Linked DNA regions of Oryzias latipes. The protein of the gene in region 3 purifies or fractionates together with the protein of the main gene of each other region. This does not show direct contact. Links are inferred from orthologs where the notes say so. Each region holds a gene or a part of one and is shown on either strand. Other genes may lie near its edges.

What was found. The genes of interacting proteins can lie anywhere in the genome.
Region 1: the proteins of hipk2 (region 3) and dcaf7 purify together in Homo sapiens (affinity purification with western blotting; 3 studies listed by BioGRID and IntAct, with this or other methods). This does not show direct contact. The link is inferred for Oryzias latipes from reciprocal best matches to the Homo sapiens genes HIPK2 and DCAF7.
Region 2: the proteins of hipk2 (region 3) and death domain-associated protein 6 purify together in Homo sapiens (affinity purification with western blotting; 3 studies listed by BioGRID). This does not show direct contact. The link is inferred for Oryzias latipes from reciprocal best matches to the Homo sapiens genes HIPK2 and DAXX.

What each region holds. Positions count from the first base shown.
Region 1 is NC_019866.2:4,065,225-4,069,357, reverse strand, and holds the start of dcaf7 (DDB1- and CUL4-associated factor 7), read right to left. Parts: upstream 2,878-4,133; 5' UTR 2,630-2,877; coding exon 2,492-2,629; intron 2,233-2,491; coding exon 2,074-2,232; intron 1-2,073. UniProt on the Homo sapiens protein: Involved in craniofacial development. Acts upstream of the EDN1 pathway and is required for formation of the upper jaw equivalent, the palatoquadrate. The activity required for EDN1 pathway function differs between the first and second arches.
Region 2 is NC_019869.2:16,001,062-16,005,416, reverse strand, and holds the start of death domain-associated protein 6, read right to left. Parts: upstream 2,878-4,355; 5' UTR 2,576-2,877; intron 1,221-2,575; 5' UTR 1,193-1,220; coding exon 950-1,192; intron 587-949; coding exon 185-586; intron 66-184; coding exon 1-65. UniProt on the Homo sapiens protein: Transcription corepressor known to repress transcriptional potential of several sumoylated transcription factors. Down-regulates basal and activated transcription.
Region 3 is NC_019864.2:30,242,801-30,246,450, forward strand, and holds part of hipk2 (homeodomain-interacting protein kinase 2), read right to left. Parts: intron 2,497-3,650; coding exon 2,312-2,496; intron 2,197-2,311; coding exon 2,034-2,196; intron 1-2,033.

The sequences.
Region 1 (4,133 bases), on a different chromosome or scaffold from region 3:
ACTATTTCTTACGTTGTGCTGCAAATTGTCTTGTGACCTCGACTGGAGCGGCAAAGGAAAATGATATATCCACACCCAGCAGCCAATCAGAATTAAGTATTCTTTCAGACCATGGTATAAGCATGTATAAACACTGGGGCTGGGCGATATGGTCTAAAAAAATGTTTTTAATTGATTTCTGATTTTTTCCGATTTTCCCCCCTACCTAAGGAAAGCAATAAGTACAAACGGCAGAAAACTTAAAGCAAATTTTGATTTATTTAATCAAACGCAAGACAAATGTAACCCCCATTTCTGGGATGAATAATAAATAAATGAACACACTCCGGGAATCAAAGTCCCAGCTGTGTTTTAAGTCAGACTTACACCTTGAGAGTAGCACCATTTCTAAAGGATTAACAATACAGCTCATATCTGGGGTCTAAGGTTTTAATTGAATTAATAAAGCCCGTTTTCTCCACAGTATATATGGGTACCATGTCTTTGGCTGTATGCAAAGCGACCGCTTCAGTGATTGTTCTCCACCGTGCCCCTAGGGATGGGTACTGAGCCCCCGTATTGAACGAGCCCCAGAGCAACATTCTTCAAGATCTGACCTCAACGGTTCTGCTATCCGTACTGGAAAAGTCGCATTTTTTCTGTGTCCCACAAGATATAAACTAGAGCTGTCACGGTGTGGGATTTTTGATCACCGCGCTGACGAAGCAGCAGGAGTCGCGGTCAACCCCCCCGCCTAACACAACATCCGGCATCGCAAATGAATACACAAATAAATGTAATTCATAATTGCAACGCAGTATTCTTTATTAACAAATAACAGTAAAAACTAACTACGAAGTAACTAATGAACTAACCATATAGGTGTTGGAGAATGAGTGTGCGTGTCAGCGCACTGCGTGCGTGTGTAAGAGGAATGAGCGCGTGCCGCGCGAGAGTGAGTGACAGCGTGCTGGGGGGGGGGGCGTTCATGTTTGGAGTTACGGATTGAAGGAGAACTGTAATAAAAGGTTTCCCCCAGGTGTTGGAATAGGTTTGTGGTGCTGTTGCCTTTGACTGCGATGGGCTTTAGGCAAATGTTGCAGCGTGGGGGGGGGGGCTCTTCCTCCACGTCGGTGGCAGTAAGCCATGTTGTCGCTTGCTGTTTCGTGTGTGCTATGATGTTGTTGTTTGTCGCTTGCCACATTGCCGTGTGAAACTAACGCTACGGAAGCTCCGGGGAGCCAAAAATGCGCCATTACACAAAAACTCGATTCAGTTATTTTTGAAATCGCCCGTAACAAAAAATTCGAATTAATTCATTCAATCGATTTTTCGCCCAGGCCTAATAAACAGCATTGCGTGTGTTTTTAAAAAATACTTAAACTGATGTTAGAAGCCAATTAACAGGCATATATGTAACCTGCCAAATGATACTTTTAAAAGAAACTGTGAGGCATCACAAAAGTTAGAAATGGGAGGAAAAAAAGTATAACGACAGGTTTCATTACATACATGGAGCCTTTGTCATAGTGGTTCAGCATTATAGCTATAGTTCAGGGAAATTTAAAAAAAATATATACAAATGCTGTGCTTTTTAAAAGAAAATAAAGAGGTAACATACACCTTTTTATTTAAAAAAAAATGCTCCAGACATTTAGTTTACTTTTACTTACTTACAGTTCTATCTCATTTCAAAATAAAATTTCCTCACTTCTTTCACTTTTGTCTCTATTTTGAATTGTATTTATGTAATTTTATGTTTAAATGTGTTCTATAATCTATTTTATAATTTATTTATTTTTTTGATTGTTTCAAGTCTATAAAGCACTCACTGTTGTATGAAAAATGCCCTATAAATAAAGTTTCATTTGATAATTGTAACATTATGCTTACAGGTCTGAAAATCCCCTTTAATATAAAAGAGTTTTAACACATAAAGCAGCGATGCGGCAATGTAAAGCATGACAAGTATAAGTTCCTTCAAACACACCGATGTAAAAAAAAATCCCAAAGTGAAAAGTACTCGAGTTACAAAGAGATGACCCAAACAAAAACATGACAGACGCAGCAGGTGACCGGGGTTTGACATCCTACCCTCCAAATGCGCAAATAGTCTCCACTGGTGGCCAGCAGGTCTGGGTAGACCCCTTTGGTGTCCGGGATCCACATGATCTTGGTGGTGGGGTAAGGGTGATCAAACGTGTTCCTGCAGACAAACTCGGAGCTCTCCTCTTCCAGACCCACCAACTGAACCTGAGTAGAGATATGATGACAAGAAAAAAATAAAAGCGATTCGTTCTAATAAAAAATAAATTAATTAATTAATTAAATTAAATTAAAAAAGGGGTACCATTAAGCATCGATGGAGACGTTATTACGAAGATAATAAACGCAATAACATTTTGCAATACCACTCTAAACATGTACAGAGCTAGCATAGCACTGATTCAAGCGCGTTTGTTCGTGAAGGGTTAGCTGACTCAAAAAACAAAACATAAAACAAGCTACGCACCTTGTTGTTATACTCTTCCACAAAGCTCCCGAGGGCCAGCCGAAAGCGTTTATCCGGACGAACGCTCCAGTTCATTGCGTACACCGTCCATGGCGCCTCGTACTTGTAGATTTCTTTTCTTTTGCCGTGAAGCGACATCCTCACGAGCTGTTGTCTGAGCAGCTAACACGCTAGCCCTAGCTTACTGTCAAATAAGAAAACGCCGCGACGAACTTTTACCGGCTCGTTTTCCTATAATAGAAAAGCATCAAAAGAAGCACGGTTGACTGTTAAAAACGTAAATCTTGTTCTAAAACAAGATTTTACAGCACTTCACTTAACAAAGAGTAGCATTGCTTGTTACGATCTTGATGGCGAACCATCTAACCGACGTATGAAGAACTTCCTGGTTACACTTTCAAAATAAAAGAGAGTTTTTAAAGAGCACTCATTAAAACTTTTAGTGAGAACGTTTGAGTTTATGTTGTTAAATTAAACATGTGTTTTATGAATTTAATTATAATTAAAATAAAATTTACGTAATTTTTTTGCTATGTATTTCTCACTGTCAGGCTGTGTTTCAAAATAGTTTTATTTTTAACGTGTCTACCGGAAGCGAAATTATGTAGTTACGTCAATCTTGATTACTGTCTGCAGTTGTGACCATAAGGGGGTAAATACAGTTTACAGGCTTCAAGATTGTTTTTCTTGTAACATCTTGTCTACATATCCTAATGAATTTTATGTTTATTATACGATGCAGCGTCAATGTTTACTTTCTAACGAATGTGCAGTCTTGTTTCTATGTTTAATTTTGACACATGAACCGGAAGTAAGATTATTCCAATTTGATTGAGCCCTTTTAGTTGCTTTTTCTGTCCAAAAAAATATCGTATACCACACCAAATATCGAACCTCCTTGTGACGGTGTGGCACTGTCAGCTGGTTTTGAAAGGAACTTGTATTTGTTGCTGTCAAAAGTATTCCTAGACAATTTATAATTCAATTAATGTAAAGTTTATAAACCATGGTATGTTAATGAATGGCTTAATTACCACAACAAGTGGCCATTAAAGTCCTCAATTTTTCACCTCTGCTCCCTGAAACATTCCGCTTAAATTCCTCTCATTTAAATGCAGCAACTTTGTCTTGCTGCAGCTGATCTTCATTCCTCTGCATTCCAGAACAAATCTCCTAGATGTTCCTCCACCTGCTCTCTGCTCAGATCGTGATGTCAACTGCAAACATCACGATCTATAGAGGTTCCTTATCTGCCAGTTTGTCCATCCATCATCACAGCAAACAAGAAGGAGCTCAAAGCTGATGGTGCAGTCTCACCTCCAGCTTGAACTCTTCTGTCACACATACAGCACGTCTTATGTCTTCCAGCTCTAATGGATGTCCTGAACAACTCAAACATACTTCTCTATCACTCCAGACTTTCTTATACAAATGACAACTCATCTTGCAGTAAAAACACTCTATTGGTTGGTGATTTAAAAAAAAAAAAAGGAAATCTTGGTGTGTCTTGTTATCTGTCACTGCAAGAGAACACATGCTAGACTTCTGGAAAAAGTTTTCTACATCGTTGCTTTTATTTTGAAAGGCAAGTCATGTCACTGGCAGTTTCCTGTCTCAAACGGAACTTTACTCCAAGGACAGT
Region 2 (4,355 bases), on a different chromosome or scaffold from region 3:
TCAGTTTGCTGCAGACGGAAGATCTCATCGTTGTAAACCTTTAGGAGATTCTCCAGGTACGCGATCTGAGAGGGAGACATGTGCTCCAGATATTTAGTCTGGCATCGTCTGATTTCAGGAATAAAACAAGTACAGGATTAACACTGACTGTCTTTTTTTTTTTAGGTTTATTGTCTGTACCGACCTGTTTCCTTGAGGCCCTTTTAGCTCTTTTTTCCTCTTTTTGATCTTGCTCTTTGTTGTCTTCCTGCACTCCAGAAGTAGAAGGTTGCTCTTCGTCACTCCTCTTCTCACTGTTAGGGGGAACGGAGGTAGACTGAACAGAAGCTGATGTTGAGGTAGAGGGCGCCGCCTTGGAGAGGGTCAGTCTCCTTTTATCCCTGTGCTGTTTGAGCACCGTGCACAGTTCATTGATGAAGACAAAGGTTTTGGAGCGGTTGTTCTGAGCGCGAGTTAGACATCCTTTCAGAGTGTTCCTGAACTCCACAGAGGACAGAAACTCTGGACACGTCTTGGAGTGTTTCAGCTGCAGGTATTCCAGGACCTCCGGGCACTCCTTGGTCTGAGCGGAGCAATGCTCCACAAACTACAGGAAAGACACGAGAGAATCAAACACTGAAGATGAATCATGCAGATCATTACACCTTTCATATTACACCTTTATAAGACTTTTACAAAACAGAAAAAGATTCAATTGTGACTCACAGAGAAAGTCAAACAGATGAACTGTAAAAGCTTTCAACAATTTAACATCTTAAATGTTTCTAACAATCTATTCCGAAGCACATAAAAACATATTTTATCACAAAATATTAAGGAAAAAAACAGTAGATATCAGCAATATTAGCACAAACAAAAACCTGCTGGGTGTTAAAATATTCTTTATTTTAGAAGTTGAAGAAGACCACAGAAGAGAGGGTGGGCTCAGTAAAAACCTGAAGCAGCTCACCTCAGAGAACAGTTTCTGATTCTCAGCTAGAAGACCCTGAGCTTCCTTCTTCCCTGAGACTTGGTGACTTGGGGACATGGCGGCGTGCACGGCCACCAAGTGCTGACCTTTGGGCGGTAAGGCGTTTCTGGAGCCATGATCAGAGGAGGGAGTAGTAGCGGAAAAAGAGGGCTGGGGGCTGTCCTCGTTGTCTTCATCCAGAACTATGATCTCATCTCCCATTGAGGCAGGAGCCACCGCCATCTAAACCCTGACGGATTCTGCTGTGAATCTGCAAACAGGAAAAACACGCTGGTCGTGACAAAAGGTACAGAAGCAAGACGTGGAAGGATTATTGATTTCAAAAATCTATTCATATATTAGTAAATATTGGGGGGTCAGTGGTGAAAAACATTTTTCACAACTTATTTCCTACTGTTTAGTCCTTGTTACAAAAACCAGCAACTAATAATTTATCAGGGGTCCAAAAAAATCAATTTATATAAAAAAATCTATTACTAATTGGCTTATTTTATTTTAAATGTTTATAAACAAACCCATAGAGCCTGAATGGAAGCACAGTTGTCTGTCCAATGAAAACCACAGATATGAACACATGATTATGTTGGTAAAAAGGTATAAAATTCATCAGGAATAAAAAAACGTTGTTTCTGGTAAACGTTGTCAGTTTCTCTTCGTGGTGTGGACTCTACTGTTTTTGCCCTTTTCACGAGTGACCAAAACACAAGACGTCCAATCACAAGCCTGCTTCTATCAATGAAAACTAACTGAACCACAATAAATAAGTGGGATGTTGTGTGCACAAAACTAGCCCTCCTTTTTCCCAGCACCTCTAACAATGTATGAATAAATGAATATGAGATGTTTTAACCATAAAGAACAGAACAGTCTAGAAGGCCCTAAATGCAGGTTTGAATCGTGGAAGCTGTTGAATTTATAGTTCTAAATGTCAAATGAATAATAAAAATCTAGATTTTATTCATTAAAGGATTGGACTGTATTGCCACAAAGCTAGTTATATATTTTACAGATGAAAATCTCAACGCATGGGTCATGATGTACTGAGATGCTGAGAGAGAAAGATACACAACACGGTATCTGGTGAGAATGTGGACAAAAACGTCTCACAGTGAAACAGGATTATTAAAGATCCAAAAAGATAAAAACACTGCAATAATAATCGTCCACACGGCTGCAATGCTGACCTGAAAATACCGAGATGCAGACAAAGAAATGGCACTTTTCTGTTGCCTGATCGACACAAATTAGACTTATTTTTAAGACGAAAATGCTCGGAATGCAAAAATGAAATGGCTCGACGACAAATAGCACTGATGTCTATTTTGCTTTTGATTATTCAACATTAAAAAAAATCTGTCTAGTAGCCTTATCTGATTTACATCAACTTTAATTACCAAAATTTTTTCCTGTTTACTTTTACATCCTGAGTCTGTCTCTCTCGTAGTTTTCTGGTCAACGAAAAAAAATGAAGGCGAATATTCAACAGAACTTAATCTAAAGTGAAAACAAAAGGAAATTTTGTAAAAACTGATCACAAAACATGGCAGATACGGTGCTTATAATTCTGAGAAAACACGACTGGGTGCATATTATTAAAACACTCACCTTTTATTCAGGAACAATAGAAACGTAAATGTTGCTCTTCAGGAACGCACAGCAGTTTTTAAGCTAAGATTAGCAACAGAGCAGCTACTGTAACTTTTCTTGTAAATCCAAACGGAATATAGGAAAAACGGCATGATTTCCTGGTTATTTAACTAACAGATTAAAGTTATTAATACTTCATGGATGCGTTTTTTAGGATAGCAAAGTCTTTTGGCTAATTTAGATCTCGTAAATTTAGCTCCACGAACTGCTAGAAACCGAAAATGTGCCCGCGACACTCAGACCAATGCCAAGGCCTCTCATTGGTGGAAAGAATAAAGATCCAGTAAAAATGTCTGCTATTGGCCAGAGTGGAAGACAACAACACTACGTCTTCTTCTACGGATCTTCCGTTACGATTTGTGAGTACACTCTCCAACAAAACAGACATTTAGTGGAAAAAACAGTGAACTGCAGAGTGTCTGAGCGCTCTAGATCAGTGTTTTTCAACCTTTTTAGAGCCAAAGCACGCTTTATCCTTGACAAAAATCCCGCGGCACATCAGCATCCAACTCATAGTCTGCATGATGTACAGTCCCTCCGCAATCTCACATGCATTTTTGTGATGATTGTGGCAGAAAAAGCTGGAAGTTGCAGCTGTTTTTTCTAAAAGATGTAATAAAAGTATGTCTATTATTTAGCTGCCTACGTAAGCTGCAGTTGTTTTAGCTTTAAATTTCCTCTATTCTAGATTATTTTCTTGCATTCAGACTCCTCATTTGTAGGGCATAATAAAGTGATTTTTAAACCTGGTTAATACCATTACATGTCACACATTTGTTCTCTGCATTTGACTGTGAGCAGCAGACACAACCGTACACAGGAACTGGATTGGATTCACCCCCTTAATGCTGAGTGTCAATTTTTAGAGTCTGTGGTATGACTCGGCCTAGATTTGAATTTACGACGTTCCAGTCATAGGGCAGACACTCTACCACAAGGCCACTGAGCTGGTTAAAACATGGTTAATCATGATGCATATTATGTCCAAATGTAAGAAGAGTTAACTTGGAGAACCACGCCATCAAGTATAATAAACGTTTAGAAATGGACAGATAAAGCACAATTAAAATGACTTCTTACAACCTTTTATTTTTGGAATTTTTACAACAATTTTGTCAACATTTCAGCAGAACTTTGACAAACACACAAAAAAAGACAGACATTCATTAATTGTAATACAATGTACAAATATTCTGGGCTTCCTATTTACAAACGTGCTTTACTTTATTAATTAGGACAGTTGTTTTGCATCTTCAGTGAAACATATTTCTCAAAAAACAAAACAAAACACAGCCTCCAGTCACAGTTTAGAAATCCCCAAAGTGAAACTTGAAGCGTTCTTTCGGTTTTTATGATGTCATGCTTTCAAGATAAGAACATTAAAAGAAAGGGGTGGTCAAATAATTTTCTGTAAAAATGGTACGGTCCAAACCAGCAACCAATCAACCAAAGGCACCAAAGAGCTGGACAGCTGCACATGAAACCCCATCAGAAGTATGAGACACCTTGATGATTTAGTGACAAACGTCTGCTTTGTCATCACTTATCCTGTTGTGAGAGAAATAACAGATGTTATTCACAAGAGTGAAAGACTGTTAACATTTACGTAAATAAATGAGTGAACTTGCCTTGTTGGGTTTAGCAGCCTCATCAGATCCTGAAAACAACGAGTGGAGAAGTCAGGAATGTCTATTTACACCAAAAACTCCCATATGACGGCACATTTAAAACATATTCA
Region 3 (3,650 bases):
AAAAACACAACAAAACAAAAAGAAACTGCAACAAAATAAAAAGTCAGATGTTCACCAAACTAATAATATTTCAGTGACAACAACTAACCTCAAAGAAAAACCAAAAGTCTCCTGCAACGTCACGGAAATAGTAATCAGATTACCTGACAAACCTCGAAAACTTAAAGAAGATCCAAGCTGATGTAAAGGCTGTGTCACACAGCCACTGTGTACATTTTGTGATTATGAAATGATGGTCTGTGGTGATTTATGCGTAAGTCATAAATGTTTCTTGCGTTCATCATTCATCGATGTCCAGCGAGGGTTTCAGCCGACGGGTTTTTATGTCAATTCGGTTTTGTTCAGAAGTTTTGGTTGGTTGAGAATGACCCAGTTTATGCGTATTTTACGTCATTTATACGCAACTATTATGTCAATCTTACGCAACTGAGATTTTTGCGACATCCATAAGCAACTTGGTAGCTTTCCACGTAGACGGACGCTAAGTTTAACTCCCTTTTTTTTAAAGTTTGCATAAGGGAGGGGGGAATAGATACGAAGAGAGGTGCATCCACAAGCACAGAAGCACCAAAAGATGGTTTCCTATCGTCTTAATAAATCGCCAACTTAAAGGGGAACGACTCCAGCGAGACAGGCTGCTGGGACGTTGATCCATGCAGATCATAGCGAGATGGTCTTGTTGCCGGGTAAGACGGCTCAGCCGGTGACGGAGGCCTTAACGGGGTAAAAAAAAGAGACGGAGAGCCTCGCCATCAGACGATCGGCGATTCCAGAAAAACGTCAGCAACTCACTTAGGAAACAGAGAGATTCTAGACCCGCAGAACCCGGTAACGGTAAAAGGAGAAAAAAGAAAGGGGGGGGGGGGCAGAAAAGGACAGGACTGAGACAGAGGAGGGGGAAAAAAAGCCTCATGGAGGGATTCTTAAGGCCTGAAAGCCCCAGAATGCAAGGCAAGCAGGAAGTGGGGTTTGTCATGTGTGTAATCAGCACTTTGTGACAATCCCACAGGAGCTGGGCCACAGACACAAATGCAGGCAGACAGACACACACATGCTGAGACGTGGCAGTAAGCCTGAAAATGTGAAGGCAAGCTAGAAAAATGGGTACAGAAAGTTAGAAGGAAGCCCTGGAAAGCTGCAAATCTGCTAAAAGAACGGCATGTTTCTGCTTTGACTGCAAACTATTCGATAAAGACTTCAAACTTTGTTTTTAGACAATCAAGATATTTGAGCAGGTGTGAAGCTCTTTTTAACCTCTCCTTGCTATACATCTTTCCAAGCTTCATTCAAAATCAGCACATTGGAGAAATGTTTGTCTCATTAAGAGACAAAAGGATTATTGTTAAAATAAAGCACCTTTGACAACACAAAAACTTGCTTTAGGACTCAAGAAACTCAATTTGGTTGAATTTAAAGGAAGTTATTTTGAAGCCCAATAAAAGTTAGACTGCCATTATTTTGGAAACAAAAATGTAGATTTATTTTCTTAGAAGAAGTGCTAGCTTTAGATTTGATAAGGATTTATTAAGATGGACCAACTTGTACTAAGATTCTCTTTTTGGTGTAGTTTTTTTCATAAAATGAGACATTTCCACTTATTACACTAGTTGTGTGTCACTGTAATCAAAATGAAATACAATTCGGTTCGTAAAAACTCAAAAATTACAAACTATTTGCTTATAAGTAGCAAAAAAAATAGGAATTGAGCTGTAAAACATTCAGTTTGAAGAAATTTTAACAGCTTTTTTGTGCATATTTTCCCTTTTGGAATGCTTGTGTGGAATTTCTATAGATTTTTATTTATATGATTTCTTGTTAAGTCAAAATTGCTGCATGGAGAGATCATTTTCCTGCTTTCTGATTTTTTAAGATGACTGTTTGCAGCCTTTTGTGCTTTTACTTTGAAAGTTTTCTGGTCTTATATACATCCTCTAATTTTCCAGCTTGTTTCCAATGCTTCACAGAGGAATAATTTCATTGTAACCCACAGAGAAAATGCATGAAACCTCATGGTATCAGCCTAAGCCGCTAACCTGGCTGTGCACAGTGTTCAGCTGGTTGTTGAAGGTCATGGTGAGGTTGGTGGAAGTGCTGGGGGCCACGTGGGTGATAAAGGGGGTCTTGCTCTGGTTGACCGTGTCGTACATGTTGACCCGGCGCTTGCAGATCTCCATGTTCTGGAAGCAGGACTTGACGCTGCACGGACAGAAGAGGAAGAAGGCGTGAGCGTCGGCAGCAGATGCTCTCCGCCCGCAGGACCGATGATCACCGGTACACAAACGGCGGCGGGAGCGGCGGCTGAGCAACGTACTGTGTGCTGTGTGGGAAATCGAGCAGATGCGACATGGTAACAAAAGGGTGGTTGAGCGTTTCGATGGGGGTGATCCTTTTGTCGGCGTCGATGGTCAGCATCTTGGTTAACAAGTCGATGAACTCCCTCCTGTCGGCCTTCTCCGCCAGCAAGTCGCTCCCCTCCAGGTCTGACGTCATGTTCACCTGCAGGCAGAAAGCAAAGGCGCCTCAGCATTTCAAACGCCCACTGATTGAGAGATCAGCGTCTCTCGGGTTCCTGCAGATGACAGAGAAAGCTCTCCTGCAGTGCGTTCCCACGGAGGGACCTATTAATACACACAAGGCCTCATCCGTTAGGGTGTCAGAGTGTGGATCACAGAACCTTGCACCTTCGTGACATTACCAACATTAGTTCTGGTATTCTTAGCCCCACTTGAAATATCTGCAGGCACAATGACAGAGATTTGTGTCTGTTTTGCTGAGGCACAAAAAACAAACATAACCTGGAAAGCAAGCTAGAAAAGCTGGAACCAAACTTTTTCCAGCCCAGATGCCGGATAGACACGGACTAAGTTGAAAGTCACAGTTGGATTTGCTTTGCATTGCAGAGATTCTGATGTTCAGAGTCGATTTAAAGGCCCCACTCTGATGAAAATCCTGTTTTTGGTGTTTTTAACATGTTTTTGGGGCACTTTTCTGATGACAAGTGTCGTCGTTTTTGCAGTATAAGTCGCGTTTTGCATAGTTTGGCCGAGGGAGCGACTTATACCCAGGTGTGACTTATATGTGATTTTAAAAAATCATAATAGGTTCATATTCGTTATTTTCCCACTAAAAACCGCCAGAGGGCGCTGTAGGTGGGTGTGTCAGTCTTTGCAACAGACAGTAACACAGCAGAAGAAGCGCCGGCCCTGGCGGATTTGTTTAAAAGTGTCGCAGACTGTGAAGAATTCAACGGATTGAGTTATTAAAAAGGGAAATAAAAGAGTTTTGTTGATTTGTTAGCATGTTTTTTATTCTGTGGTAATAAACTGTAAGCAGCAGATTGAATTTGAATTTTTCCCAATAGTGCGACTTACAAAGTATTTTTTTTCTTTTTTATTATACATTGTTTGGCGTCTGCCACCTATACTCCGAACGACTTATAGTCCAAAAATATTTCTGTATTGAAGTCGTGAATCAGGAGGAGACAAAAGAAATTTAGATTTGAAAAAAGATCGAAGAAAAAAGATGAACTACTGCCACTCTGCAGAAAAAAAGACAAGGTTGTTTGATTTTGACTAATAAAGGCATAATCATAATTAAAGAGCACTGGGAAAGCTTTGGGAATACATCAAAGGACGATCGGAGTTGGTCTT